Linked DNA regions of Tamandua tetradactyla. The main gene of each other region encodes a partner of the protein of the gene in region 4 in a complex. Links are inferred from orthologs where the notes say so. Each region holds a gene or a part of one and is shown on either strand. Other genes may lie near its edges. The genes, in order: STK25, STRN3, STK26 and STRIP1.

The links.
Region 1: STRIP1 (region 4) and STK25 share a complex: the UniProt entries of both Homo sapiens proteins name them as parts of the core of STRIPAK complex. The link is inferred for Tamandua tetradactyla from reciprocal best matches to the Homo sapiens genes STRIP1 and STK25.
Region 2: the proteins of STRIP1 (region 4) and STRN3 are in contact, whole or in part, in a cryo-EM structure (PDB 7K36), measured with the Homo sapiens proteins. The link is inferred for Tamandua tetradactyla from reciprocal best matches to the Homo sapiens genes STRIP1 and STRN3. Residues at the interface, in NP_149079.2 of Homo sapiens: Arg441, Ile445, Tyr447, Leu449, Thr455, Val456, Val457, Gly458, Leu459, Arg491, Ser492, Pro493, Leu494, Ser495, Phe792, Leu793, Pro794, Val795, Asn797, Cys798, Leu799, Val802; in NP_001077362.1 of Homo sapiens: Thr64, Pro66, Gly67, Leu69, His70, Tyr71, Gln73, His74, Val88, Glu89, Ala91, Glu92, Ala95, Arg96, Phe99, Leu100, Glu103, Gly106, Gln107, Leu110, Asp113, Leu114.
Region 3: STRIP1 (region 4) and STK26 share a complex: the UniProt entries of both Homo sapiens proteins name them as parts of the core of STRIPAK complex. The link is inferred for Tamandua tetradactyla from reciprocal best matches to the Homo sapiens genes STRIP1 and STK26.

What each region holds. Positions count from the first base shown.
Region 1 is NC_135329.1:80,165,950-80,173,476, forward strand, and holds the start of STK25 (serine/threonine-protein kinase 25), read right to left. Parts: upstream 3,002-7,527; 5' UTR 2,810-3,001; intron 2,430-2,809; 5' UTR 2,306-2,429; coding exon 2,276-2,305; intron 1-2,275. UniProt on the Homo sapiens protein: Oxidant stress-activated serine/threonine kinase that may play a role in the response to environmental stress.
Region 2 is NC_135340.1:23,298,133-23,305,105, reverse strand, and holds the start of STRN3 (striatin-3), read right to left. Parts: upstream 3,012-6,973; 5' UTR 2,647-3,011; coding exon 2,389-2,646; intron 2,283-2,388; exon of another isoform or gene 1,923-2,282; intron 1,782-1,922; exon of another isoform or gene 1,659-1,781; intron 1-1,658. UniProt on the Homo sapiens protein: Calmodulin-binding scaffolding protein which is the center of the striatin-interacting phosphatase and kinase (STRIPAK) complexes.
Region 3 is NC_135353.1:30,555,812-30,563,209, forward strand, and holds the start of STK26 (serine/threonine-protein kinase 26), read right to left. Parts: upstream 3,004-7,398; 5' UTR 2,883-3,003; coding exon 2,881-2,882; intron 1-2,880. UniProt on the Homo sapiens protein: Serine/threonine-protein kinase that acts as a mediator of cell growth. Modulates apoptosis. In association with STK24 negatively regulates Golgi reorientation in polarized cell migration upon RHO activation.
Region 4 is NC_135337.1:12,888,841-12,896,025, reverse strand, and holds the start of STRIP1 (striatin-interacting protein 1), read left to right. Parts: upstream 1-4,163; 5' UTR 4,164-4,172; coding exon 4,173-4,352; intron 4,353-6,895; coding exon 6,896-6,965; intron 6,966-7,185. UniProt on the Homo sapiens protein: Plays a role in the regulation of cell morphology and cytoskeletal organization. Required in the cortical actin filament dynamics and cell shape. Part of the striatin-interacting phosphatase and kinase (STRIPAK) complexes.

The DNA.
Region 1 (7,527 bases), on a different chromosome or scaffold from region 4:
TCTCACTCAGGGACTCACGGCAGCTATTTCTGAAGCTCTTGAAAATAAACCGGGGGCAGATATTTCTCTCAGCATCTTAATCATATAGTCATCACACATAAAATGTCAAAAAAGAACCCAATAAAGGATGATATCGTCCATATTTTAAGACTTCAACTTCTGTGTGAGACTAAAGGAAGAGATTTTTATTTGGTGCAAAATTTATATTTTGGGTAGTGCATTTCCTAACTTAACTTGTATGGTAAGTTTAGCTGAACACCATAAGTACATAGAATCTTGAACAGGGCATAAGATTGTGTTGGTTTGTCCAGGTTAATGCGATGCTCTGATAAATACCAGAGAGATTTGGACAGTGAATAAATATTTGCAAAGTCCCGTTGGGGGAATGGGGAGAAAGGGGGAAATATTCAACTTCACCATTTGGAGAACTTCTGATATTCTCACAAGCAATGGGGACAACCAAATCAACAGGCCAAGCCCTCAATCTTGGGGTTTGCCCCTACTAAACCTATTCCTGCAAAGGATAGGCTAAGCCTGCTTAAAATTAGGCCTAATAATCACCCCCAAAGAACCTCTTTTGTTGCTCAAATATGGCCTCGCTCTCTAAGACCATACAGCAAGCGATTTACATCCAGCGGTGTAAATCTCCCTGGGAAATCCCAGGATGAGACAGGACCGGCATCGAGGGATTGAGAAAGCCTTCTTGATCACAAGGGGGAAGAGAGAAATGAGACAAAATAGTGTCAGTGGCTGAGAGATTTCAAACAGAACTGAGAAGTTAACCTGGAGGTTATTATTATGCATTATATAGACATCCCTTTTTAGTTTATGGTGTATTGGAGTGGCTATCAGGAAGTACCTGAAACTGTGGAGCTGTGTTCCAGTAGCCTTGTTTCTTCAAGATGATTGTATAATGATATAGCTTTTACAATGTGACTTGTGACTGATTGTGAAAACCTTGTGTCTAATGCTCCTTTTATCTAGGGTACAGAAAGATGAGTAAAAAACATGGATAAAAATAAACAAATAATAAGGTGAACAAAGGTTAAAGTAAATTGGGTTGATGGAAATGCTAGTTGTCAATGAGAAGGAGGGGTAAGTGGTATGGTATATATGAACTTTTTCCTTTCAATTTCTTTTTCTGGAGTGATGCAAATGTTCTAGAAAATATTCATGGTGATGGATACACACAGTGATGCAAATGTTCTAAAATATGATCATGGTGATGAATACACAACTATGTGATGATATCGTGAGTCACTGATTGTACACCATTTATGGAATGTTTGTATGTTTGTATGTCAAGTTTTGTCAATAAAAAATATTAAAATAAATAAAAGAACCTAAAGCCTGGAGGCTTCATTCCGCACCCATCAGCAAACCCAATCCCCTGTGACCCCAGCTGGTTCACAAAAGCCTGCCCAGCAGTCAAGCAGCCGGTTCCCAGCGTTCCCAGACAGCTCCCACCTCCTGCAAGGGCCCTGAGCCTGGAACTGAACTGCACTCCCGCCTCTGCCTCCCATACAGAAGCTCCTGTGGGCGCCCCTGCACCCCTGATGGAGCACTCACGCTGGTGGGATCACGCTCCATTCTCTAAGGGCTGATTCCAATACCCGCCAACAGTCTAAGGCTGCCCCAAGCTCGCATTTACGAACAAAACCAAATGGCTAGATGAAGAGAAACGTGGCAACCAGAAGGGTCCATTCTACTTCACCATCACCTTTAAATCACACCTTTCTTTCAAAGAACAAAAAAATTGGGGGGGGGGGGGGAGCGAGGGAAGGGCGGGTCCAGTGGAAAGCTCCCACCGCGGGACCGGCAGAACCGTTCTCTGAAAACTGCACGGCCCACCTGAGTCCGCAGGTCCTGTCGGGAATCACCTAACGTCTGCAACTGCACACTGCGGTCAGGAGAACCATTAACCAAAGATGAATGCCAGATGTGATCTTCCAGGTGCCCTCCCAACGCCACGGGAATACACCGCACCTTCTGCCTTCCCTAGGCGTGGAGAGGGCCGAGTGAACTCCCCGGCCACATTTCCGAACTCCTTAGCCCGCGGGGATCAGGGTTCTCCCCATGCCTGTCCAGAAGTGCCGGAGCCCAGGCCCGGAGCGCCCCTAACCTTCAAATCTTCCACTCCCGGGTGAAATATAAATTCCTTAGTACAACCAACAACGCGCACCATCTCGATCCGCACCGTTCCTCGTACTCGGCAGCCAAGGCTCTTGTCTCAGGGGGTTCACACCCACATACAACCCAGAAACTTGCTCCTTACCTGGTTGGCAAATCCCCTGAGGTGAGCCATATCCCCCGCGGCGTCACACCATTCGCCTGCAACCCGAGGAGGCCTCCAGATGGCCGTCTGGATGCTCAGGAACCCGGCTCGCTCGCGAGGTTCGCTTCAGTCCACTGTGGCGGGGACAGCAGGCCTGCTCGGGCTTCCCTGGGGTCCCCGTGGCCGGGCCGCGCCCCACAGCCCCACCCGGCCGTCTCCACTCCCCTCCTGCAGACAGTGCCTGCCTCCGCGCCCCCGGCCGGTCCTGCCGAACGCCAAAGCACCCTCCGAGAGCCTCGCCGGCCGCGCACCCCCGGCTGCACGGGCTTCTCCCGCACCGCATCCCCCGGCCCGCCTCACTGCAGGGTCCTCCCTGGGCCCTGCCCGCCCCCGGTACCCGCCCCCCGACTCTCCTCCCACCACGGAGCCAGCCCGGCGGCCTCCCTCCGCCCCGCCCCGCTGCTCCGGGCCCCCCACCCTGTGTTCGGCCCCCTCCCCAACCGCCAGGGGAAGCCCTCGGGGCGGCGCGCCCACCTCCGGGGGGCTCCATCCCGGGCTCCCCCGGCCCGTTCCGCAGCGCCCGCGAAAGCCCCCACCCGCAGCCTCGGTCCGCCTGGGGAAGCCCGGGCCTCTCAGCCCCGAAATAAAGGTAGTTGCGGCGGCGCCGGAGAATGGCCGGCGGCGGGGAGAGATACGCGCGGCGTCGTGGCCCGGCCGCAGTGCTCTCTGGGACACCCAGTTCCACAGCGCGCCCTGCGGCGGGGCGCCGCGGACGGTGGACTACAAGCCCCAGCAGGAGCCGGGGCGGGCGGGTCCGGGAAGGGGTCGTGCGCGAAGGCACGCCCGCGAGGCTCGCTGGGACTTGGAGTCCCTCTTCCTAAGAAGCTCCGGACTCCGTCTCCCGGCAGGCCGCAGGGCAGGCGGCGGCGTCAGGACGGCGGGGGCGTCTCAGCCGGGCCCTCCACCCGCGTCCTGACTGGCGTTTGTCGTTCGCAGGCGCCGTCTGGGCTTCGCCTTGGTAAGCCACGACGGACCCTTCCCGAGCGCAGAGCCAGCCACGCCCTCGTCCCGTCCCCGGTCCCGCCCTGCTGCCCTCCCCGGGCGCCCGCGCCCTGCTAGTTCGCCTCGGGATCCCGATTCCCGCCCGGCCCTCAGCGAGAACCTCTTCCCAGGACGGCCTCAGTATCCTCCCACAACCGGGTTCGCGGCCGCGGCTCCCTCAGACCGCTGAGAGGCCATCCAGTGTGATCGCTTCCCTCTCCTGCCTTGGTTTCTCCATCTTGGTTTCCCTCCAGGACCCACCTGATGGCGCGGGGACACCTGCGGACAAAGCCCGTCGCTGAGGGGCGCTCATGGTCTCATGGGCTGTTGGCGCCCCCAGCTGACGCACCCCTGGCCCTGGACGGTGACCCGCCCTGTCCAGGGGCTCAGGAAGATCTGCGGAAGGGAGGACAGAGTGCGCTTCCCAGACAGGTCGCAGGGCCAGCGGCTGGACGGCCCCAGGGTGCGGACGTCAGGGCAGCCACCACCACTGCCCGCGAAGCCTTGGAGGCCCGCGCCGTGCCCCTGGCAGCGCCTTCCTAGTGCACCCTTGTCCTGTGGAAAAGGCTTGTTTCTTCTGCCTTGGGTGGGCCCTCCAAGACCATCTGGACACCCCGTGCTCCTGCTGTCCCTCAGAACGGAGCTGGTCCTCCTGAGTTACTTCAGTCTCCTAAGTACAGGGGCTTCCTGGCTGTGCATGGAAGGCCCCCTGCGCACCTGTGTGCAGGTCACTCGTGGCCACCTGATCTTTCACGGGTTGTGTTATTTACCGTCAGCTAAGCACTGGCAAGCAGGCTGTGCCTACATCCTCCCCACACAGGGCAGGCATGCAGTGAAAGTTGTGGAGTGAATGTGTGAGTGCAGGAAAGTAATATGTATGAATAACTCCTCTTAGATCCATCAGAGAATTGAGGGCACAGGGCAAACTACCCGAAAAACTGGAGAGAGAGGCAGAAATGTCTCAGCTTATCAAGGGCAGGAACTGCAGCAGAGCCACCCTCAGCAGGACAGCTTACAGGGTAGTTGACTACTTCAGGCCAATGAAGATGGATTAGCATGAGAAAGAAAATTTCCAGGGGGTCCCAGGGAGACCCCTACACTTTCTTGAAGTCTGTCTCTAGGGGTACCACCAAATTACTGCTGTGAAGATGAGAGAAAAAAATCTCCTCATGCTTCCAGCACAAGGGGAAGGGACCATTGTGAATAGTGTCCTTGTTCCCTTATAAATAAATGTCTGTCCCCCGGGGAAACTCTCTTACCAGCACCTCGCCAACACAGGTCTTACCAGAGTTGGACAACCCCCAGAGGGAAATAACCAACTCCAGCCTCATCTAACCTTCTGCAAGCAGGGAAGGAAGGACCCAGAGCTAGTCCACTTTAGCCTTCCTGCTTCACCTAAGGGGTCAAAACAAAACAAAAAATACAGATGAAAAATACTGGGTCACAACCTAGGGTCACAGGCTCACTAAAAGACCAAGACTAACTGTAGGACTCTTCTTGTCCCACATCAGTAGGGCTCCTAGATAAGAACAGGGATTATAGCTGAAAAGAACTCCAGAGTTCTGGCCCTATTTAAGGAGAAATCTCCAAGGAAATACAGAGACATAAACAAGGACCCTAGAGGAAATTTTAGCCTTTGACATCACAGCTACAGCAAACAATAAACACAACCTATCTTCTAGCTTGATACATTTAAAATCCTCAGTTAAAGGCCTATTCACCTCTGTTCCTATTGCCTCATACATCATGTCCAACTTTCAATAAAAAACTACGAGTCATGCCAAAAGGCCAAAAACACAGTCTAAAGAAGCAGAACAAGCATCAAATGAGACTCAAACATGGCAGAGATTTTGGAATAAAGTGGAAATTTAAACTATAATTTATGTGCAGAAAACTCTAGTGGAAAAAAGTGAATGATATGCAAGAACAGATGAGTAATGTAAGCAGAAAGATGCAAACTCTAAAAAAAGAAAATCAAATGCTAGAGAACCGCACTCTGATCAAAATGGCAGAATGAGAAGCTACAGGGCTCTGTGTCCACTACAGGAGATTTGAACAACCAGCAAGAACTGCCCAAAGCAGCTTTCTCAAAACTCCAGAAAACAGTTAAAGGACTGCACTAAAAGAGCAAACACCAAATCAAGAAAAGGGGATCTTAAAACCAGTAGAATCTCGTGGTACCCTGGCTGTCCTCTCTCCACCCTCCCTAGCATGGCCCTGGCCCATGCTCCCACTGTGGATCCCTGGTCTTCGCTCTGGAGGGAGCTGAGTCACCCTTGTGCACATGCTGGGAGCAGGGGGGTCTGGCCCAGTCTCACTGGTGGTGGCCTGAGGGACTCGCTGTCCCAGAACCTGCCCTGTGTGTAGAAGGTGGGTCACAGAGTTCTCCTACAGGGCTGTGGGGACCAGGCCAGTGGCTGCCTGGGGCAGGGGACTGCTCGCTGAACAACACACAGTGCAGGGCCAGGGACTGTGAGGAAACTGTTCCTTAAAGAAGAGGGGACATTCTCAGCCATTTAAACAGAGGGACTCCTAGGGCCATTCACACATGCCTGTGACCTGTGCATATGCTGAAAGGATCAGGGAGGTCCCTACACTTTGGCCTCAAACTATTCTCTAAACTCATTATCTAGGTAAGCTCTGAAAGAGAGCACTCAAGCAAGTCAGTCTGCAAAGACTGGGAAAGGTATTTTCTTTAATTTCTTCCATTTTTTTTTGTTTGTTTATTTTTTGTTTCTTATATTTTGGTTAGCTCCTGGCATTCAAGGAAAGCTCGGATCCAACACTACCTGGATACAAGCTTAAAGAATAGTTGCCTCAGAAAGTAAATTCCAGCAGTAACACACTAAAACATGAAAATGTCCAGGTTTCAACAAAACATTCAAAGAAACAGGAAGCAATGTCCCAGGCAAAGGAGAAGATTAAAGTGCTGGAGACCAACAATGAGGAGGACCAGACCTGGTACATACCAGACGAAGACTTAAAAAAAAAAAAAAGAAAAAAAGTTCTAGTGAGAAGCGGCTGCAAAACCGAGCACAGGAGGCAGGAAGCCTAGTGCAAGCAGTAGTTGGGCACCATGGCGGGGATCACCACCATCGAGGAATTGAAGTGCAAGATCTACGTTCTATAGCAGCAGGTCAGTGATGCTGAGGAGAGAGCCGAGCACCTCCAGCGGGAAGTGGAGGGAGGAAGGGAGGCCGGGGAACAGGCTGTGGCTGAAGTGGCCTCCTTGAACTGAAGGATCCAACTGGTTGAAGAAGAGCTAGACTGCTGAGCGCCTGGCCACTACCCTGCAAAAGCTGGGGAAGCAGAGAAAACTGCTGAGGAGTACGAGAGAAGTATGAAGGTTATTGAAAACTGGGCTTTAAAAGATGGAACTCCAGGAAATTCAACTCAAAGAAGCTAAGCACATCACAGAAGAGGCAGATCGGAAGTACGAGGAGGTGGCTCGTAAGTTGCTGATTATTGAAGAGGATTTGGAACGCACTGAGTAAGGAGCTGAGCTGGCAGAGTCCCGTTGCCAAGACATGAATGAGCAGATCGGCCTGATGGACCAGAACCTGAAATGTCTGAGTGCTGCTGAAGAAAAGTACTCTCAAGAAGAAGACAAATATGAAGAAGAGATAAAGATTCTTACTGATAAACTTAAGGAGGTAGAGCGAGTTTGCTGAGAGATCAGTAGCCAAGCTGGAAAAGACAATTAATGATTTGGAAGATAAACTGAAAACCACCGAAGAGGAGCATCTCTGTACACAGAGAATGCTGGACCAGACTCTGCTTGACCTGAATGAGATGTAGAACACCCCAGTACCACACTGCTGCTGCTCCTCCCTTTGACCCTGACTCCACCTGAGGCCAGCCTGCCCGAAGCTGATCTTTAAACTGAGAGGTGATCTTTCACTGGAAGACTGCTTTCTCCTCTCACTGTCCACCGCCACACCCATTCACCTACCCACTCTGGCCCCGTGTCTTTTTCACCAAACTGTCCCTGCCTCTCTTCCAGAGACTGCAGCTGAGCAAGGGCTGAGCAACTTTGGGAACAACATTTAAGGGAATGGGAGCACAATGCAAATGTCTTTAAAAGCATGTTGGGATGTATATGTATTGTAATTGCCCTTTTTGTTGTTGTAGCAACTGTTTGTAAGACATTCCAAATAATTCCATAGCTCTGAAGCAGTAATCTAATCCCTGTCTCAGTTTTAGAAGGTAGC
Region 2 (6,973 bases), on a different chromosome or scaffold from region 4:
ATTAACAGTCTAGAAACACTTCAAAACAAAGTTTTGTTTGGCTATATCAGAACTAAAATGCCAACAGTAGGTCACTGAAAGACAACTAGGAAGAAGACAAGCAATAAAAATCTTCCTTAAAGGATTCTTCCATTGTTGCTATTAAGAAAACTGGAAAGGGCTAGGACAGACAACCTAGGTTTCATTAATTTACAAGTTTCATGAACCTGTATGTTTATTAATTAGATACAAGTAAGACATTTTCTTAGCTCCTTTATTAGTGAAGTTTATGAGGGACTAATGTGATTGCTAATCTGCAGAGTGTTAAAATCCAAACTTGCACTCAACAGTACATAGGTTATAAACACTACTATATCAGGAATAGTAGTGCTATTTAGTGAGTTGAAGCCTTGATATATTTGAAAATGCAACTTTTATTTTTAAAAGATAGTAAATAAATAAATAAGTTTGCAGCATGGCATAGTAGAAAGTTTTATATCAAAAGATCTCTACCAAAGTATTTTACAGCAAACTACACATGTTAAAAGAAACAATTCTGATGTAAGCTTTTTGAAAGTTATACTATTCTTCAAAGCCCAATAATGTTTCAAAGCCTGATTTTAAAATACTGAATTGACTAACAGGTGTTGATGTGTAATTTTCTAAGCCTTGAGAGAGTGTCAAAATATATAAATATTCTACTTAAAAAAATTTAACTTCATCCATTTTGTGGAGTCAAGATTTTACTAGATCAAAGTCAAACTGAACTAATTCCATCCCCCTATACTATTATTATCAACATGAAAAAGTTAGAAAGGGCATACCCAAAGATTTTTATAGAGAAGAGGGATCAAAGGCAAAGGAGGAGTTATAACAGAAGACAGAATTTAACAAATTGAGTATGACTGCTAAATCACTATATTGATATTTCTTTTAACCTCCAGTGTTTTGGAGCAGCTGAAAGGAAAAACCTGTAACTGTGCAGTGGTAATCCATATCAAAATATTATATCTGTTCTGTAGCTGCATGTTGGGGTGAGCTTTGAAATTTTTTTTCTTTCTTTCTTTTTTTTTTGCATATGTTACATTTCACAATTTAAAAAAGTTAAAAAAATCAAACTGAAGAGATTTATATTTCTCTGATGACACTTTCAAAGTTAATCCAAACTTCCTTCTTTCAGCACCATGTTTTTCTAACTAGTCATCATAGGTATATATGACATATAGGACAGCAAACAATACTGCTTACATCCTAAATATACACCAGCCTGAAGAACAGGTGCAACACTATTTAGATGCGTGTTTTCTTATAAGCCTAAATTTATCCTGGAAAGGAATTTAAAATAAACCCTTACAAATGCCCCCAAAAGTTCAACAACCCTTTCAAAGGGATGCAGCAATTTTTAAATCCAAGACACGAGCCCTTAAACTACCAACGTTTTCCAAAAGTTAGGTTAAGCATCCTGTCAAAGGTTCACCTTAAAAGAAATGTGTCTGGCTCAATTATGAGTGTGATGAAACTCAAGACAACTAACTTTGTTTCCCCTGAATGAGTCACTAAGGTGAGAAAAGTACATTTGCTTCAAGCAAATATTGTCTATTCTCAGTCGTTTCATAAATACAGCACAGATAGTCCTGTTTCGCTTTAAAAGTAAAGAAAGGGATGCAGGGAATGGGGGCAAGGGGTGAAGGGTATGCTAATTGAAAATTTTACTAGTCTTCTGAGAAGAGTAGTCAAGCACCGGTGAGTCACTATGTAAGGATGAACAGAAAGGGATCCAAGTGATTAAGGCAACATCAGAGGTAAGAAGGTACTTAAAAGTTGGCAGGTAGGAAATGAAAACTTCACAGATCAGCCTCAAGCCATTGTGCTGGGTAGCAGTCCTGGAAAAGAAGCGTGGCTGTCAACCCGCAAGTGCGTACCAAGTAGCGAGAGGGGGCCAGACGAGCCAAATCGGAAGAGGGGGAGGTGAGGGGGTCCGGGAAAAGGTGGTAAAACGCTCATCCCAGTCCCTTTCCTGTGGTTCTCAACCTCAAGAGAGCCAAACGAGAACGAGTGCAGTGCCCAGCAGTCCCACGCCGGACTCTCCCATACAGCGGAGTTCGGTCACAAGCCCCGAAAGCCCGGGAAGGCCGCCGCCGGAGGAGCCCCCGCGGACGCCATACTAAAAACCAAAATGGCTGCCCCAAGGAAGCCTGCACCGCGTAGCTAACGAGGATTGGGGAGCAATCGTCGGTGGGAAAGGGGGAGGGGGACCCCAAGAAAAAGCTGCCGCCAGGACCGCTGCCCGTGCAGCCGCGCAGGTAGGTTCCTCTTGAACTCTCGAAACCGCAGGCTCGGGCTGAGGGGAGTCCCGGCCCCACCCCCCTGCCGGGATCCCCACCGTGGCAGCCGCCCCACAGACCGTACCTGCAGTTCAGCCCGCTCCACCTCCCAGTGCGCCCGCTCCATCTCGAATCGGGCCCATTCGTGCTGGATGTAGTGTAGTATCCCCGGGATTGTATACTGCTGCGGCCGAGACAGCTCGGGGCCCGTCGCAGGGGCCGCTCCTTCGGCGGCCGGAGGACCCCCGCCACTTGATGCTCCATTCCCCCCAGGTCCCTGCTGCTGCCGGGGAGGTGCCGCCAACCCGGGACCGCCACCACTGCCTCCGGCGAGCTCATCCATTGTGTGTGCGGCCCCGGCCGGGGCGCAGACGAGACGTCGATGGCAGGAGGAAGGGCCGGGAAGGGTGGCCTCGCACTGCCGGCGGGGCAGAAGTCGGCCGGGACAGGGGCAGGGAGGGATTCCTTGCGGTGTGCCTGCTGTAGGTCAGAGCAGGGAGCTGCCGGCCGCCGCCATTACGGTCCCTCCTCCATCTGCCCGTCTCACTCACTCACTTTAGGGGAAGGGGGGGCCGCGGCGGGAGGGGAAGGAGGGGGCAGGGTTGGGAAGGGGCTAGACGTAAGGCCGTCGCTCCGCGCTGCATGCCGGGTAGAGAACGCCGCAGCTGCCGCACGCCTAATAGCCAAATAGAAGCCGGCCTCGCCCTACGCAGGCGCACTGGGGAAGCATTCAGGGCCGCCGCTAAGAGGCGGGGAAAGGGCACGGGCCCCGCCCCCAGGCCCGCCCCCAAGGAGCTCCGCGTGTTTGGCGGCCGGCGTCAGTCCTTGGTCTGGGAGTTCAGCTCTTCCGAGCGAGTCTACCTCCCTTATCCCGGTTGTCAGTTTCTCTGTTGCAGGCCGCCCCCAGACGTGGTTCCCCACCCAGGGCCCTCGATCGCCTGGCTGCGGTCGAAGCTGGGTTTTAACCGGGTTGGTCGCTCTGGCCTGCTGCGAAGCGTCCGGGATTCCTGACGTTGCTTTTGCATTCCTTGCATGTTTCTGGCAGTCCCACAGGGTCGGGCGTCTTTCCTTGCCTGTCACTCGCTCTTTCTATAGTTGCCTAGCTTCCGGTCGTTTCCCGGGGCTTTGGGGACTTTCTCTTTTTGGCTAGTGGCCCAGATCCTTCCGGACATGGTGACTGTAATCTCCGACTTCGCCGGAGCCCGGACTTGGGTTCATTTCTGTGCGTTTGTTCGCCGGTCGCTTGTTCCGTTTCCTCACCTCTTCTCAACTATTCTGGGAAAGGGGATTGTGTTGGGGAGACTTGGGAGGGGAGCAGGAGCGATTGTTGGCATTTTCGTTTCTTTTTCTTGGGAGGAGAGGGGGTGGCAATGGAATCCTTTAGATCTTGGTGATGAGTAGAGGGAGGAAGATAATTTTCGAGGAGACTGCTTACACTAATAATTTGAAGGGAATAATTTTAGAAGCAAATGAGGTCCTCAGATATTGCCATTCATGGCAAAATATTTATTTTTATTTTTTTAACATAACAGCATACAAACCCGAACATTCTTATCATATGATCATTCCATTCTTGGTGTACAAACGATAACTCACGATATCATCGCATAGTTGTATATTCATCATCATGGTCATTTCTTAGAACATTTGCATCAATTCAGAAAAAGAAATAAAAAGAAAACAAAAAAATTCATACATATCATACCCCTTACCCCTCCCTTTCATTGATCGCTAGCATTTCAATCTACAAAATTTATTTTAACATTTGTTCCCCCTCTTATTTATTTATTTTTAATCCATATGTTTTACTAGTCTGTTGATAAGGTAGATAAAAGGAGCATCAGACATCAGGTTTTCACAATCACACAGTCATATTACAAAAGCTTTATCATTATACAATGATCTTCAAGAAATATGGCTACTGGAACACAACTCTACATTTTTAGGCACTTCCCTCCAACCGCTCCATTACACCTTAACTAAAAAGGTGATATCTATTTAAGGGGTAAGAATATCCTCCAGGATAACCTCTTGACTCTGTTTGGAATCTCTCAGCCATTGACACTTTATTTTGTTTCATTTCACTCTTCTCTCTTTTGGTTGAGAAGGTTTTCTCAATCCCTTGATGCTGAGTCCCAGCTCATTCTAGGATTTCTGTCCCACGTTGCCAGGAAGGTCCACACCCCTGGGAGTCATGTCCCTCATAGAGGGGGGAGGGCAGTGAGTTTTCTTGTCATGTTGACTGAGAGAGGCCACATCGGAGCAACAAAAGAGGTTCTCTTGGCGGTGACCCTTAGGCCAAATTTTAAGTAGGCTTAGCCTATCCTTTGCAGGGTTAAGTTTCATATGAACAAACCCCAAGATTGAGGGCTCCACCTATTACTTTGGTTGTCACCACTGCTTGAGAGAATACCAGGTATTCTCCACATGGGAAAGTTGAATTTTCCCCCTTTCTCACCATTCCCCCAAGGGGACTTCATGGCAAAATATTTTGATGAAGTAGCAACTAAGGCAGCGTGAACACAACTTAAAATCCTAGATGAAAGGGTAAAAGTATTTTCCCAGGTCACCAAAGGTTTGAGTGAATATAATATAGATATAAAAGACAAGGTTAATTTTTAAAATTTATTTTACAAACCCTATTCCCACCAAGCAAAAACTTGCTTCCAACCCACTATAGCCATCAGTCTACTAAGGTTAATTTTCTTTAAGTAGTGCACATTTATGGCTTAGCGCCCCAGGGAGCATCCTAATGAACTAATGAGTTAAAAAAAGTGATAATCATTCGATTGAAAAATATGACAAAAAACATTTACTGTAATAAAGAGATTTAGAAATTAAAGCTATACTGGGAAGTGGCATAGGAAGTTGGTTTTGTTTTTAAGAATTTTTTTCTTTATTACAAAAGCCAATAAAATTTTCACTATGGAATATACACTTCCATTTAGGATCTAATTTCAAAGAGATAAAAATATATCTTATTTTATCTTGTTGATAAATCTTGTCAGTTTACTGTTCTAACATTTTAATGGAGAGCCATCTTGAACTTGTTCCCCATGTTATTTTATTTACGCATGAAATATGGTCTTAGATCACAGTACTATTAAGTTTCTTCCTATATATATGAAGAATATATATACATGTATGTTAGTTGCAAGTTCGGTCACAACTAACATTCACCCATTTATTAAATCCTATTAACTTTTGGGAGAGTCTCATAGCATAAAAAAGTTCAGAAGACCCATATACACTTAAGAAGTTCAGATGTAAGTTCAGAAATTAGACCCATATACACTTAAGAAACATTTTTTGAGATAGTGTAGTTCACCTCCCTGATGGTAGCATCAAAAGAAGAGGAAAAATGTGCATTTGTGTTTCCCTGATACCTCAAGCTCACTTTAGAATTTCTGTCTTTTCTTCCTCACCTACCCTCAAAAAAAATCTGAAAGCTCTGCTCCTCTTCTATTACCTATCTTATTAGGTGGCACTAGATCCAAACCTGAGGCCTGGAAGTCTTCTAGTGCCTTTCACTTAGCCCCTACATCTGATCTCTTTTAACATCCTTTATGTCTACTCCATTATCTCCATCCATGCCTTAGTTTAAACCTTTCCACCTCTACTCTCCCCTCAGCTCCCACTACCACAGCTGCCTAAAAAGCAAACTGGACCCTGTCGTTCCCCTGCTTAAATTGTTTAAGTGATCTCCAAGGCTTTTAGGTTAAAGCCCCAAATTTTAGCTAAGCATTTAAAATATGGTCCTTCAAGTATTAAATTCTCACTATAGCCTAAACTACCATCACTCCATCACACCCACCCCACAGCACTTTTCTCTTCAGCCAAATCGCACTGCTTTGGGTTCCTCAAATGCATAAGGCCTATTCCTTCACAGTGACTAAACACAGGCCATACCCCATTGCCTTTCTTTCCTGTCTTCCTTGAAAACTCAGGTCAAGCATTACTTCCTCCAGGAAGTTTTAAAGATCCCTAAATTATTTAGAGACTGTTGAGGATTGAATCTTGTCTTGCTCAAGAGGACTGTTCAGATCCCAGCCGCTTTTCCTGTGGATGTGAACCCATTTGTAAATAAGACCTTTGAAGATATTAGTTAAGTTGGACCCAACTTGAATGAGGGTAGACCTTAATCCAATAGGGCTGAAGTCCTTAGAAACAAAAGAAATTGGACTCGGAAAGGAAAGCAATGGAGAGCAGTGAGAAGCCGGAAGTCAATAAAATCTGGAAAGGAAAGGAGAAGATGCTGTCATAAGCATTGTCATGTGACAGAAAACCAAAGATTGTCAGCCAACAAAAAGATTTTGACCCAGGAAAGAGGCCTCTGAAACTGCTAGCTAATAAATTCCTGTTGTTAAGCCACTCTACTGCCCTTCTGGTTCTCAACTGTACCTTCAGTATCTGGTACATTGATTCTTAAATGACTGATGAATAACTTAAGTTTATATTAATATGAATATTTTTCCTTGATCTTAATCATTTTTATTAGTTGTGCCAGCTACCTCTTAAAGTCGATGAGCGAATGCTCTGGGTATTAAAAGTTAAGAACACCAAGGTTTTCTCCTCTGCTGGGAGAATGTTTTGTAGATTCTTGATGTTGAGTTTTATGCCCATGACTCATGAGGACATGCTACAGTGAGCGCCTAGAATCTTGTCCTCTG
Region 3 (7,398 bases), on a different chromosome or scaffold from region 4:
ATGTTAAGAGCATGAACTGCAGAGCTAGACTACTTAGGTTCAAATCTTAGTTTTGTCTACATACTAGCTCTATGATCTCTAGTAAGGGATTTAGCTACTCTGTGCCTCAGTTCCATCACCTGTCAAATAGGGATACTAAAAGTACATAACTTAAGTTGATGTAAGGGCCTAACTATGTGTTACCCTTTCTTTAGGCTTTTATTGAAGTATGGCACACATACAGAAAGCTGCACAAAGTCATAAGTGTAGAATAGCTCATTTTTCACAAAGTTAAAACATTCATGTATCCATCCACCAGATCAAGAAAGAGAACATTACCTGCTTGCCAGAAGTCATCTGATGCTCTCATTCAATCACTGCCTTCTCCAGCCCAAAGGTTTCCACTTCCCTATCTTCAGACATCATAGATTCATATTGCCTAACTTTGAACTTTAAATGAGGATCTGCATAAACTGTTTAGAATAGTGTCTGGCATGCAGTAAACTCCAAATAAGCCTGGTAATGTGATTTTAACAATAACAAAAAAATAATAAAATAAGAAGTCAATTTGTGAGGTAAAGCTTATGGCAATAAAGTTAAAGGTAACCTGCCTATTTAAAAAAAAATGATGAGTTCTTGAAAACATTTTGCTTCCATAAGTTAAATCTACTCTGTATTCCATACTAAGAAAACTACATTCCGTTTGAGACATCAGAAAAAAACATATGCCCAAGCATTTCAGCATGATCCAGAATTTTATTCAAAGTTTGCTTAAAAAAAAAAAAAGAAAAATTAACAGATGAAAAACAAGTTTGGCTGAAACTTCTCTAGGCCTCAGTCTCCTCATTGTAAAATGAAGAGAATTGGATCATCTCTAAGATTCTTACCAGCGCTGACATTTAATGATTCTATGAAAACATTTCTTACAAAGTAAAATCTGGAATTTTCTGAAGCTTTATTTTATAGCTAAATAATAAATCTAGAGTCACAGTTAAACATGACCTTTCAGAGGAAAAACAGCAGGGATTCTGTGAGGGAATAGCATGTCTAGTGCTCTTTAGGAGAGTAAATAACATATGGGCAAGGAAGAACCAGGGGATGGAATATATAGAGACTTTTTCAAAAGTCTTTGGCAAGCTTCCATGCTGTTGACTTTGGTTGTTGTTGCTTAATGAGTCCCTATGAGATTTGGGGAAACAATTTGTCATAGAAGGAGCGCTAACTCACAGAAGGAAATGAAGGATAGGAATGTGTGGGTGCTTCTCTGGATGGAGAAGTGTCAGTATTAAGGTTTCCATGATCCCAGGCTTAGATAACTGTTACAAGTGGTGTGAAAGAAGGTCTACACAGTGGTAAGAGCTACTAAGCTCTTCTCAGTAGTGAAATGCCAAACTGACGTAAGGACAAATGGCAAGAAAGTCTCTCAAAACTGGAAAAGAACAATAGAACATCTCCGCAAGGTAATGCATCCACAGAAAAAATATATACAAACTATACATGTTTGATAATAATCTCTGTTGCTCCCAAAAGGGAAGCTAGGAGTTGTAAGTTATTTCTGGAACAATTTCACCTCACTGTGCCATTTTTGGCCAGAAAGGCCAACAAAATGCTGTGCATGATTAGAAAACAGACTAGAAACAATATAACACATTATTCTATTTTGGGGGAAAAAAATTAAATCCTGGTGCAGCCACATCTGGAATACAACACTTAATTCAGGAAGCCACAAATCAGCAAAGCCAAAATGGAACTAAAGGTGGTGTAATGATGGGCCCTGAGAATGTGTGAATGAGAAGGTGCTAGACTGAGCCACATTCAAGGTGTTAAGATTCTTTTAACACAATACGATGAAGATAGAGGCAACAGCCAGAGTTACTACTGCTGCTACTTACCACTTATTTAGTGTGCACTCTGGGTCTGTTACAGGACCAAGTGCTTTTTGTGTATCAAATCCTGTAATACCTGTGAACCCCTATGAGATAGGTCCCCACTATTAGCCTTATTTTAAAAGTATCCTGAAGGGTATGGACAGAGTAAATAGCAACCAAAGCTATTAACTGGCTAGAACTCAGCACAGACCTTAAAACTCAAGAGTCAAATCCAAGGCAATCAACAGGAAGTGAGACTTTATATAGTGGACAGTAAAACCTGTGGAACTCACCACCTTCAAGCAGCAGTACAAATTAAGCTGTAAAGAGCACCAAGAAAGATTTAGGCTACATTTGCAAAAGATAAAACCAAGATAACCTGCTAAGAGAATCTTGCTAAGTGTCTTAAACTTTTTCTTTTTTCAATTTGCATGGGCAGGCACCTGGAATCAAACCCAGGTCTCCGGCAGGGCAGGTGAGAACTCTGCCTGCCGAGCCACCGTGGCCCGCTCTAAGTGTCTTAACTTTTGAGGTTGTCATTAAGGAGAACAACCACACCCTCTCCGCTCCCATTGCCAACATGATTCCGAGTCCCCCTCTAAAAATTCTTGGCTGCCTGGACCAGAAATTTGGTCCAGCGTGGCTTTTCCTTTTTAATTATGACAAAAATAGGGGAATGGTATTTGAATTCCTTGTGGGTAATTCAAGATGGTTGCAATTTGTACTATACTTGAATCCCTTTTAATGATAGCCTAAATTACACAGAATCCTATTTAAAGTGCTGTGCTCTTTAGAAACGAATTTTTTTTTACGAGTGACTTGTGGAAGAATGGATTGCCACAAAGATAGCAGGTAGAGGAATTCCCCTACAGCATCCATCATCTGGTCAAGCATTTACTTGCAGTTAGTTCATGTACATCTTTCTTAAAGAAGTTACATTTCGGAGAGAATACATTTTCATGCACAGAAAATTAGTTTAAAAGAGAATCCCTGTATAAAACCCGAAACTTGGACACCTCCCATGAAAACTTACATAGCAGCTTCTCTGTCACATCAGTCCTCACGAGACCTAAGGATGGATTCATCCAGTGTTGCTCAGAGCTTCTTCTGTCTTGTCGGTGTGACGCTGCTGGTTTACACAAAATGCACCGGTACCCACCCTTGGCTGGATGACCTGTACCTTAATTGAAACACTGTATGTGTTCTGGGCATGCCACAGAAAAGAAACAGAGAAGGAAAGAAAGGCTAGGAGTGAACATCTAGTTCACAGAGAACTAGCCTTATCTGTGGGGAGGAAGTATGTAAAAAAACAAAAAAATACTCGAGAGCCAAGAAACGGGAAGGGGAAAGGGATAAATGGAAAGATATGATCTTTCCTTAGATACATTAAGAATTCTTTAAAAAGGGAGATAAGACTAAATGTGGGTTTAAACAGTCACATGGGTAATTGGGTCATGAGTAAATCGGTGAAGTTGGCCACTTGTTTGAACATCACTACTTTTCATGACAGAGGTTCTGCTTTCTCCTCACACCCCCACTCCAATCTGTTTCCTCTCATTGCTGAAAGCCCATCTCTGCAACTAGGCATGAATCTGGTACTCCCCCAGGCCCTGATTCTGGGCCATTCTCACCTCCTTTGATCAAAATGTATCTGTGTTCTGCCCATTTTGATACCTTGGCCTGAGAACATTGCCATTTTAATAGGGAATAAGTTAATACTTACTCAATATGGCCCTCTACTCCTAGTTGTAAGTGGAGATATTTTGGGAGCAGAGATCTTCTCACACCCTCAAATAAGTTTAGGTAAAAAGCCAGCAGAATTTGCCTCAGCCAAGTGACCAGTTTCAGTTTCCTCACCTGTAAAATGGAGGAAATAATACATTTAATTTCCATCACTGTATATTCACACATCCTCACACCCATCCTCTTAAATAAGGATTATTACTCCCACTTTACAGACAAGGGAACTGAAGCTCAATGAAGTGAAATAGCATAGTCCAGGATATTATGTGAAAGAACTAGTGTATGAGGAGAGGAGTCTACTAGCTAAGATAGGAAGTTGACATGCAGTTAAAAAAGCTCCTAGGACATGGTGCCTGACATAGGAGCCACGTGGCTGTGTGGAGGCAATATGGAATCCAGGCTGTGAGTATGGACTTGGAGTACCAGAAACCTAGGTATGAATCCTGGCTCTGCCCCTTATTTCCTGGCATTCGTTGGGCAACTCACCTTCTCCAAGTTTACATTTACTTATTTGGAAGATGGGCATGATAATGCCTCTCTTATAGAGCTGTCGTTCGGATTAGCTAACACAGTGAGTGTAATGTGCTTAGTACAATGTGGAGCACGTGCGAAACAGGCAAAAATGTGGAAGCTACTGGAATGATTATTAGTAGTAATACTTTGCACACATGTTAGCCTAGAACATGGTGTTTGCTGGGCAGAAGGTAGCGTTAGCTACCAGTCTACTAGTTATCTACTAGTTGCTAGACTGTAGGCAACCAGAGGCAAACATAGTTAATGCAAGTTAAAAAAGAGAAGGCTGAATGCTCTTCAGACAGCACCACTGAAGGCTATCCAGGGCTAGGCTGCACGTTCCTTAGAATAGTGTTTCTCAAACTTAAAGGGTATATCAGCATCACCTGGAGGGAAGTTAAAAGACGGAGGGCTGGCCCGACTTCTAAAGTTTCCAATTCAGTAGATCTGGGGCAGGCTCAAAGTACTTGCATTTCTAACAAGTTCCTGGGTAAATACTGATGCTGCTGGTATGGGGACCCCACTTTAAGAATCACTGCCTTAGGAAAAAGAATCCCAGATCTTTAATTCCTGCCCAGTTCTAGGCATCAGAGTTTCCTTGCTTTAGTTTTCTCTTTCTTTCTTAGTAAAAGTCTACTTGAAAAATGCCAACCCTGTTTTGAGAGAACAGAGGGATTTGTCCATAACTGAGCCAGGAGATTAGGGGTAGGGTGGTGGTAGCCATTGCTCCAGCTACAAGGCTTGAGGAGAGGCCCCAGAGCAGAACAAATATCAAAACTGAGATGGAAAGACTTGGAGATAGCTGTGATTACTGAGCCTTTTCCAGCTTGGATTTTCCCTCAAGCAAGAGTTTTCTTGCTTGAGCTTTTTATCCCTTTACAACACTATCACTATATCTTGGGGGAGGGAGGAAGGAGTTACTACATTTTCTTTCTGCACTTTTCATACTCCCCTTTTCACTCTCTGCCAGCCACAAGGCCAACACGAACCTCTTGGAGAGCCCAGAGCAGCGTGAACAGATTACGGAAACCTGAGCAAAACCCCGAATGAAATTAGATGTCTTTCTTGAAGTAAAATATGTGCTCCATGCTCTTCGTGATGTTACAGCAAATTCGAAAACCAAGGGCTGGATTCCAAGTCACCACCTGGCAGCTGTCAGTGAACTAAGCCTCCGCTACCTGTTAAACACAGTTAATGAAGCAGTCTGTGTTTACGAATTAGGGGATTTGTCTTTGAAAATAGTGACCCAATAGAATGAGAAAAGATAGATAGCCTTGGGTTTAGATTTCTGGATTAGAAATCATCTGTCTCATGAATTTTAAGGGATAAAAGAACATGTGGTCTAACTTATTAATGAAAATGTATATTGATACTGCAAATGCTAGGAAATGGAAACACCAATATGGATAAGAATGGATATTTCTTAGGTTCTCGAGCCAGAGATACTTTGGCTTATGAGTTCTAGAGACGGTGTCTGGGCCTGTTCAGTGCCATTAGGCTATTAGGTACCTGTACCAACCTGCCCACACTACATGAAAACACGCCTCCTTAACGCTTTCAGAATTTATGGCTTCTGTCCCAAACCATTCACCCCAGCTCATTTCATACCCGATTTCCTAATTCTTCCTCAGTCTGTTCTAATTTCTGACCTCCTCACTCATTTTTCCTCTCACTGTCTTGCCTCACTCACCCTGGGGCCTGGCACGTGGTATTACTTCTCCAACTTGAACCCTTTGTAGCCTTCTTTGGCCAATAATCAGGTTCGCCCACTTGGCTACACTGTTGTCGGCTGCCATGGGTCAACCTGGTCCCCGGAACCTAACACCATCATACAAACCCTCATGGGAAGTGGCCCTCCCTGGCACACCCAGTCCTAGGAGCAGAACTCAGACTTGAGAGCTTTATGACTCCTTGATACTGCTGTCCGAAAGAACAACCCCCCCCCCAAAAAAAAAAAGCAAAGGAAGGAATTTGATTGCCCAATCACTATACACAGAAGAGCCAACTGAACTTTTATATTGTCTAAAGTATAGTATACATAACTATATACTGTTAATAGTTCTTCTCAGATTTGAAATTTTGTTCATTTCTTCCTCTCCTTCATATCTATCTCCTCTCAGCAGCCCACCCCTCTGATTGATTGTCAAGATTTATGATTTCTACCTCCATAATGTCACTTGAACCCATCATTCTCTTGCCTGAGCTGTTTGCAATTGTATCCTAATAACTGGTCTCTCTATAGCTAGTGTCTCTTCTTTCCCCACCTTACTCCCCCATGCCCCTTATCCCCTGCCAAGCCATTCTCCATATAGCTGCCAGAACAATCTTTCTAAAACATGGATATGTTCATGTTATTACTCCCTATCTTAGTATTTTTCATTCCCAGGTATGCATCAGATTATTTTAAATATGATTTTGGTTTTTAAGAAGAGACACTTCTAATTATAGCAATAATAATGATCTGCTACTTTAGAGTGCTTTAGAGTACTTTATTGTGCTTTAAAGTGTTTTCACAGCTATTAGTAATACATTAGAATGATTCACATATTATTATCTCTATATTCAAGCAGAGATGGTATCTTTTATTTATACTGAAGTATACAGAATGAGTAGTAGATATTAAAAATCAAATATATTGATCTAATTGGCTATGTAGTTGATAAATTAGGTACTCCTAAAGGAAATTCAGATTCACACTCAATTTCTTAATTCTTCATTTCCAGAGAATGAATTTGCTAAGTATTATTCTGATGCTGATCTATCTCAGTTGTTTAGAGCATGCAATTACTGAGGTCAGGGTTGGTAGTTGAACTCCCATTTGTTTAAGTTGGCCTCATTTGATTTCATGTATATCGCCTGTAACCCTAACTTCAGACAGCCATCTCACAGTTGCAGATCCCAACTGAGCTGTATAAGAGATTACATGAAATTACAGAAATTACCATGACTCCATCCCTATTACTTGAAAACTCAAATATCATAGTAGCTCTGTAGCATTATGTTAGCAGTTAGACAAATGTTTAGCAACAATTATCTAAACAAAGAGACAGCTTGACTCTCTAATGTGGTCCTTTGAGAACCCTGAAGAATTCTTCATAAGTATCTCATTCCTAATCATACAATTCCAGTCTAATAGTATTAAGCTCCATCTCAACTGATGATATAGGTAACAATTACTAATGTAAATTTACATGTGTCCTGTAATATTTCCACATAGTAATTTCTATATTCTCAAATGAATAAGGAAATGTTGTACATATAATACTACCTTTCGCATTCATGGAGATGTGGTGAG
Region 4 (7,185 bases):
TTTTTACATCCTCTTACAGATGGAGAAGTTGAGATGATGCAGTTGAGCAACTTGCTCAAAGGTAGCAGATGCTAAAGACATCTGCATCCCAGCCCAGATTCACTTTGGGATTAAAAAATCTCAGCAAACTGATAAAACATCTCTATAAATTACATGGGAAATAGTTTGTGATTTCTATTTAAAATTGTGGTACTGAGTTACTGAGTGATTTTTTTAATTTAATTTATTTTGTATTATCAAACCAAAACAACATACAAACATGAACATTCTTAACATACAAACATTCCATGTATGGTGTACAGTCAGTGGCTCACAATATCATCACATAATAGTATATTCATTACTGTCATCATTTTTTAGAACATTTGCATCACTCCAGAAAAAGAAATAAAAAGAAAAAACTCACACGTACCATACCCTGTACCCCTCCCTCTCATTGACCACTAGTATTTCCATCTACTCAATAGATTTTAACTTTTGTTCCCCCTATTGTTTATTTTTAATCCGTATTTATTCATCTGTCCATATCATAGACAAAAGGAGCATCAGATACAAGGTTTTCACAGTCAACAGTCGCATTGCAAAAGCTATGTCATTATACATCGTCAAGAAACATGGCTACTAGGACATAGCTCTACAGTTTCAGGCACTTCCCTCTAACCTCTCTAATACACCTTAAACTAAAAAGGGGATATCTATAAAATGTGTAAGAATAACCTCCAGAATAACCTCTCAACTCTGTTTGAAACCTCTCAGCCACTGACACTTTCTTTTGTCTGATTTCTCTCTTCCCCCTTTCGGTGGAGACGGTTTTCTCAGCCACTTGATGCTGAGTTCCAGCTTATTCTTGGATTTCTGTCCCATGTTGCCAAGGAGGTTTACACCCCTGGGGGGCATGTCCCACATCGAGAAGGGGAGGGCAGTGAGTTTGCTTGCTGCATTGGCTGAGAGAGATAGGCCACATCTGAGCAACAAAAAAGGTTTTCTGGGGGTGATTCTTAGGCCTAATTTTTCCCCCTATTACATATTTATTTTTAATCCATATTTTTTACTCATCTATCCATACTATAGATAAAAGGAGCATCAGAACAAGGTTTTCACAATTACACAGTCACTTGCGAAAGCTATATCATACAATCATCTTAAAGAAACATGGCTACTGGAACAAAGCTCTACAGTTTCAGGCATTTCCCTCTAGCCTCTCTAATACACCTTAAACTAAAAAGGGGATATCTGTATAATGCGTAAGAATAACCTCCAAGATAACCTCTCAACTCTATTTGAAACTCGCAGCCACTGACATTTAATTTTTTCTCATCTCTCTTACTCCTTTCAGTGGAGAAGTTTTTCTCAATCCCTTGATGCTGAGTCCCAGTTCATTCTAGGATACCTATCCCATGTTGCCAGGGAGGTTTACACCACTGGAAGTCATGTCCCACGTACAGAGGGGGAATCTTATGCCTAATTTTAAGTAGGCTTAGTCTTTCCTTTGCGGGGATACGTTTCATATAAACAAACCCCAAGACTGAAGGCTCGCCCTATTGATTTGGTTGTTCCCACTGCTTGCAAGAGTATCAGGAATTCTCCAAATGGGGAAGTTGAATTTTCCCCCTTTCTCACCATTCCCACAAGGAGACTTTGCAAATACCTTTTATTCGTTGTAACCGAGTGATTTAGACTTGCAATTTTAAGTTGCTGGAACTGGAATTAACCCAGGGGGTCTGGCCTCAGAATCAATGCTCTTGACACTAAGCAATACCACTGTTAAGAAACAGCCCCAGTTCAGTTCAACTTGTGGCAAACAAGGTTTTGGTACGCATACCAAGGTAACGTGAAGCTTGTTAAAAATACACATTCCTGGACCCTATCCCAGGCCTACTAAAACTAACTCTCAGGGCCATAAGGAGACAAAGATTCTGAAAATCAAATATCTCTTCAGAGTCACATCACAGTTGATGAAGTAGAGCCAGGATTTGACCCATAGTCTTTCTGGCTCCCAGATCCCATCCCTGTCCCTCCACTGACCTGCCTCCCTTTGGCCTTCTAGGCAGCTTCTCATTTCAGGCACACTTCTCATACCTTAGCAAAGTTTCTCTCAGCATCAGAAACTTGCCACAGGCATCCAAAACTCAAACCGCAGGTCCCAAGCCTTTCCTAACTCTTCCTGAACGCAGACATTGATAACCTGCAGAAACTGAGCTCTGCTTCCAGAAGCCAGAGCCAAACTGGGTCAAAAATATCCACACTTAGGGCACCAGTAGTCCACTGATAAGCCCTTGGGCTCTTGGGCTCTTGACTTGGTTGCTCTTAAATCACAAAATGACTCATCTTCATTATTGATTCTATTATTTCAGTGCATGAAAAACAAAAGGCCCATTCTCTTCAATGATTCTCTTGCCTTTGTATATCTATCTGGGAAAATTACTTCTGAAGGGCAACTGAGAAGTGTTTTCTAGTCCGGGAGCAGATGAGGAGTCTGGATAAATTTGAGGTAGCACACTGCTCTCCAGGTCAGCTGAACAGACCCCTCTGAAAAGCATTGACTTGCTGCTTGCTTTCATGCAAATTTGTCAACTGAGGGGATAGGTTTGAGTCTTGTTTTTGTGCATGTGTTTTTGTTTTTTAAGCAAAGCCTGCTTTAGCTCAAGTTTAATGGGGAGATTTAATGAGGAGGGAACTGTCTTTCTCTCACATACGGTGGGTAGCAAACCAGCACTTGCGGCTTTTTCCTGTCTGAGCTGTGGGTTTGCTATTATCCAGTAAACAAGCTCTTTTGCTTTTCTAATTTTCTTCTCAAAATCAAACCATGGACTATAGTTAATAGTACAATTATAAAATTGGGCTCTTATCAGTTGTAACAAATGTATCACACTAATGAAAGATGTTAATAATAAGGTGACTTGTGGAACCCTGTACTTTATGCATGATTTTTCTGAAAACCCACCACTTTTCTCTAATAAAAAAATAAATGAACAATATGAAAATACCACTACATGATATGAAAATGAATATGCTGCAACCCCTATCATTTAACCTTATATATCATTTGAATCTGTCCCATCACCTCCTTCCTCACCCCAAGTCAAGCCTTGGGATGAGCCAGCAGCCCTGGAACATCATCAGAATTGAGCCAGTGGCTTCCAGCTAAGTCATCTCCAGGTTCACCACCCACAGAAACTGATATAATAAATGTTTTTTGTTTTAAACCTTTAGGTTTTAGGATAATTTGTTACACAGAAATAGAAACGAGTGCAGGTACGTTTGGATACCGTGGTGCCCTGTACACGCAGCTTTCCCATTCATGGCTGATGCACTCATCCCTCAGCCAGGTTTCCCCTGGCTGGCTCAATTTTAGCTGCAAAGACCTCAGGGCTCTGCACTTAGCTGGTCATTCTGCCAGTGTCACCTCCACCCATCTTTGCATGGCTCTCTCCCTCACTCCTTTCAGGACTCAACAAAATTGGCCTCCTTATGCCTGCCTGCCTTGTCCAAGCAACCGAAAATAGTCAAACCTCTGCCCTCACCCCCCATCACTTTCTAATCCCTTACGCTTCTTTGTTTCTCCACAGCACGTATGTCTCTAATTATGTATGTACTTGTTGTTTGTCCTACCCTTTTAGACATTATGAATATACTATGTGTTGAGGAACTTGACATGTTGCCCATTCTATTCGACTGCCTGGAGCATAGGAGGTGTTCATTAAATATTTGCCGAATGAATGATTAGTACTTTCAAAATTTTTATTAATTTGTTTAGTGGCTGTCTCCCCCATGTAAATGTACATTCCGTGAAGACTAGAAGCTTGTCCAGCTTGTCTACGGCGGCTATATCCGCAATGTCTTTAACAGGGCTGTAACAGTGACAAGTGCAAAGTACCATTGAGTGAAGGAGGCGACAACTAAATTGAAATTTCTAAGGAAGTCCTCACAGATAAAATGTCATCCAAACTATCGGGACTGGAAAGAGAGCGGAAACTAAAATTGGAGAAAAGGGAAGAAGTACAAACATTTCAGACACAGGCAATCACGGGAGCTTATTGAGCAGCCAAGATGGCTTCCAGCACACGCTGCCACACTTAATATGGCGACCAGGGAGATTCCCTGACAGAAATCACGCGAGAGTTGCATCACGGCGACTCGGAGAATTGAGCCGGGGGTGTGGAGCAACCAAGATGGAGCCGGCAGCTGGCGGCCCGAGCCCGCTCATCGTGAACAACAAGCAGCCTCAGCCGCCGCCACCGCCGCCGCCGGCATCCGCTCAACCTCCACCCGGGGCACCGCGAGCCGGCGGGAGCCTTCTGCCCGGGGGCAAAGCCCGAGAGTTCAACCGCAACCAACGCAAAGACTCGGAGGTCAGGATATCAGGGGGGCGAGGTGGGCACTGGGCGCGCGGCGGCGGGGATCCGAAGTGGATCCCTTCACAGGGTCCACACTGGGCTTCCTAGAGGGAGTCGGCACGGCCGGGCCTGGGAGCTGTCATTTTAAAGCGAGAGGGGCGGGAAGCAAGACTGGTGTCTCCCGGGCCAGGGGTGTGAAGTCGGGGTCCCCGCCCGGAGCCCCGCCGCCCCGGAGGACTGTCCGGAGCTGGGTGACGGCTCGTGTGCTCCTCTGGGACCGGAACTGTGGGGGCGGCCTCGGGGCCACAACCGCTGGGAAAGCCGCCCTCTGGCCCAGTGCGGTGGGAAGAGTCATTGGTCTGCGTGCGCTCCCGGGGGCCGGGGCGGCTGGACCCCAAACCCCCTAATCTCTGAGCCTCTGGCCTCGGCCCCGGGCTCGCGGGCTCGGGCTTGTGGCTCCCGCAGCGCGCTGTGGACGGCATGTGTGGGCAGAGGAGGAACTGGCGAGGGTTTAGAAGGCACTTTGAAGCCGGACGGAGCTAATTATCATTAATGATACTGTGCGCCCAGAGGTTGCGAGGGTAGGAGGGGAGAATCGCCCGGTTCCCTCTGATGCTGTGCTGGTGTTTGGTGGTTGCTATGTCCCGTGTGCCTAAAGCTGAAATATTAAAAATCCGAAATGCACATTTTAAACATGTGTTAGAGCTCAACATCCCCTTCTCTCTTGCTAGAGGGCTGTTCTTCCGTTCTGGAGCTGACTATTCACCTCTCCCCAAGTTAAAGAATTCCTCCCACTGCTTCCTTTTGTGGAATTCATGAATGAAGACACATACATCGCAGAATTTTAGGGTTTCTTAATTAGCACGTTTCCAGAACACTTACTATGAGTCTCCTTCACCTGAGATAACTCCAAGGCTGGTTGATCATCAGTCATGCACTTACTGGGAAGGAATTCCTTTTTGTCAAGAATGTACTGGGTCATACCACCCAGTGATACTGTCTTTACACCTGTGAAATCAGTTCTTCTCAAACTTTTATTTTGTTTTTTGTTTGTTTGTTTGTTTGTTGGCAAGCCCAACACACATTGTAAAACATGTCAAAATATGGCAACTATAAAGTTTATGTGCCCTGAGCTTGAAGTGAATTATTTGATAAAAGGAATGAAGTCAACTTTTCAGGAGCCCTAAATAACATGATGGGGTGATGGGACAACAATGGTGAATTCTTCCTTTATTGTTATTATTTTTTCCTCCAGTGGTGAGTTCTTACTACCCTTTGAAGTAAGGAGGGTTATGAAAATGATAGGGGTGAACCCACCTTCATTTTGAGAGAAGATATAGTTTAAAAAGAGTTTTACATTTTAAGTACTTATGAATAATAGTTAATGCATTTTAATTTCCCTTTATGCCCTTTAATTAGCGCAGGGAAGGGCAGTCAAATGGATTCGTTTAAATTGAGAGAAGTCTAAGTTCATTTTCTTAGTAGATGCTGCTGCTGCTGCTCTCTGCTCTTTCTTTAGTCATAGTTGAAATCAATAGACTGGGAGCCTGAGCAGAGTGAATGCTTGGAGGGCAGGGAGGCTGACACTTGATGAGAGCCCACTGTGTGCTACATAATTTTGATTACTCCTTAAAATCAACAAGGTAGATTTTTGTCCTCCCCATTCCATGTGTTAGGAAACCGAAGCTTGGTTTGTAAAAGTGTACACTGTGTTGCCTCTGAATGGGCCAAATAAGTAAAGTTCTTTTAGTTGCCCTGTGTTTGTGGGTCTGCTCTCATAGCATACCATGGATGGTCTTTGTCTTCTCAAGTAGATTACGATTCAGACTAAAACATAACCTATTGCTTCGCTTCCTCTTTCGCCCCAATACAAGAACAAAGAGTGTGTTCTCAGTAATCATCTGCCCCAGCAGTAAAAATATTATCTTTGTCGCGTTGTCCCATGTGTGGGAGGGAAGCCGTTCTCTGCCACTGCTGCCTTCTCCAGTCCTTCAGTTCTCATTGAAATTTGAGAGAGGGGCAGGAAAGCTGAAGGGCTTTCAATACCCACTTTGTCTTGAGCAGTTAATAGTCCACTAGCTAGAAAGAAATGAGGCTTCTGGAATCTTCGCACCATCTGGCTTGGTCATTCACTACACAAAATACAGAGAAGCATTGTATTCATTCATTCAACAAGTATTTGAGCTTAAACTGTTCATTCACTCATTCATGCCAGGTACTGTGCTGGGCATTCTGAAATCATCGGTGAGCAAATTGGATAACATTCCTATTTTCAAGGAACTTGCAGTTTCGTGGAAAGATAGATACTACACAAATATAAATGCCAATATATAATTCGAAGTTATGTTAAGTGCTCTGAAGGAAAAGTATAAGATATTCAGAGAGGATTTAATAGGGAAAACTGAGCTGGCCCAGGAGACAAAATATTGTGATAAAACAACAAAAAAGTGGGGCAGTGATATCCTGTAACACAATGGTGAGTCTGGAAGCATGTTTGTTTTTTCCTTTGGAAAACTTTTTGAATGTTCTTTTGCATAGGCTCTCTTGTATCTCAACAGGGCTATTCCGAGTCACCAGACCTCGAGTTTGAGTATGCTGACACAGACAAGTGGGCTGCAGAGCTCTCTGGTAAAGCATAGATCATTGTGTTGTTTTGGGGATGAGGGAAGTGTGTTTTTTTTCTTATTGATCTTTAAGAATATGAATATTGTTTTGAAATTAATTTTTTTCTCAATCCAATTAGTGATGTGTATTAAAAATATTATTTGGTTCAAGCCTTGAGTATCTCATGACTTTAGATTGTCCTTCACTTTTTTGAAGCCTCTGTGTAGTCAACTCATTGACCAGA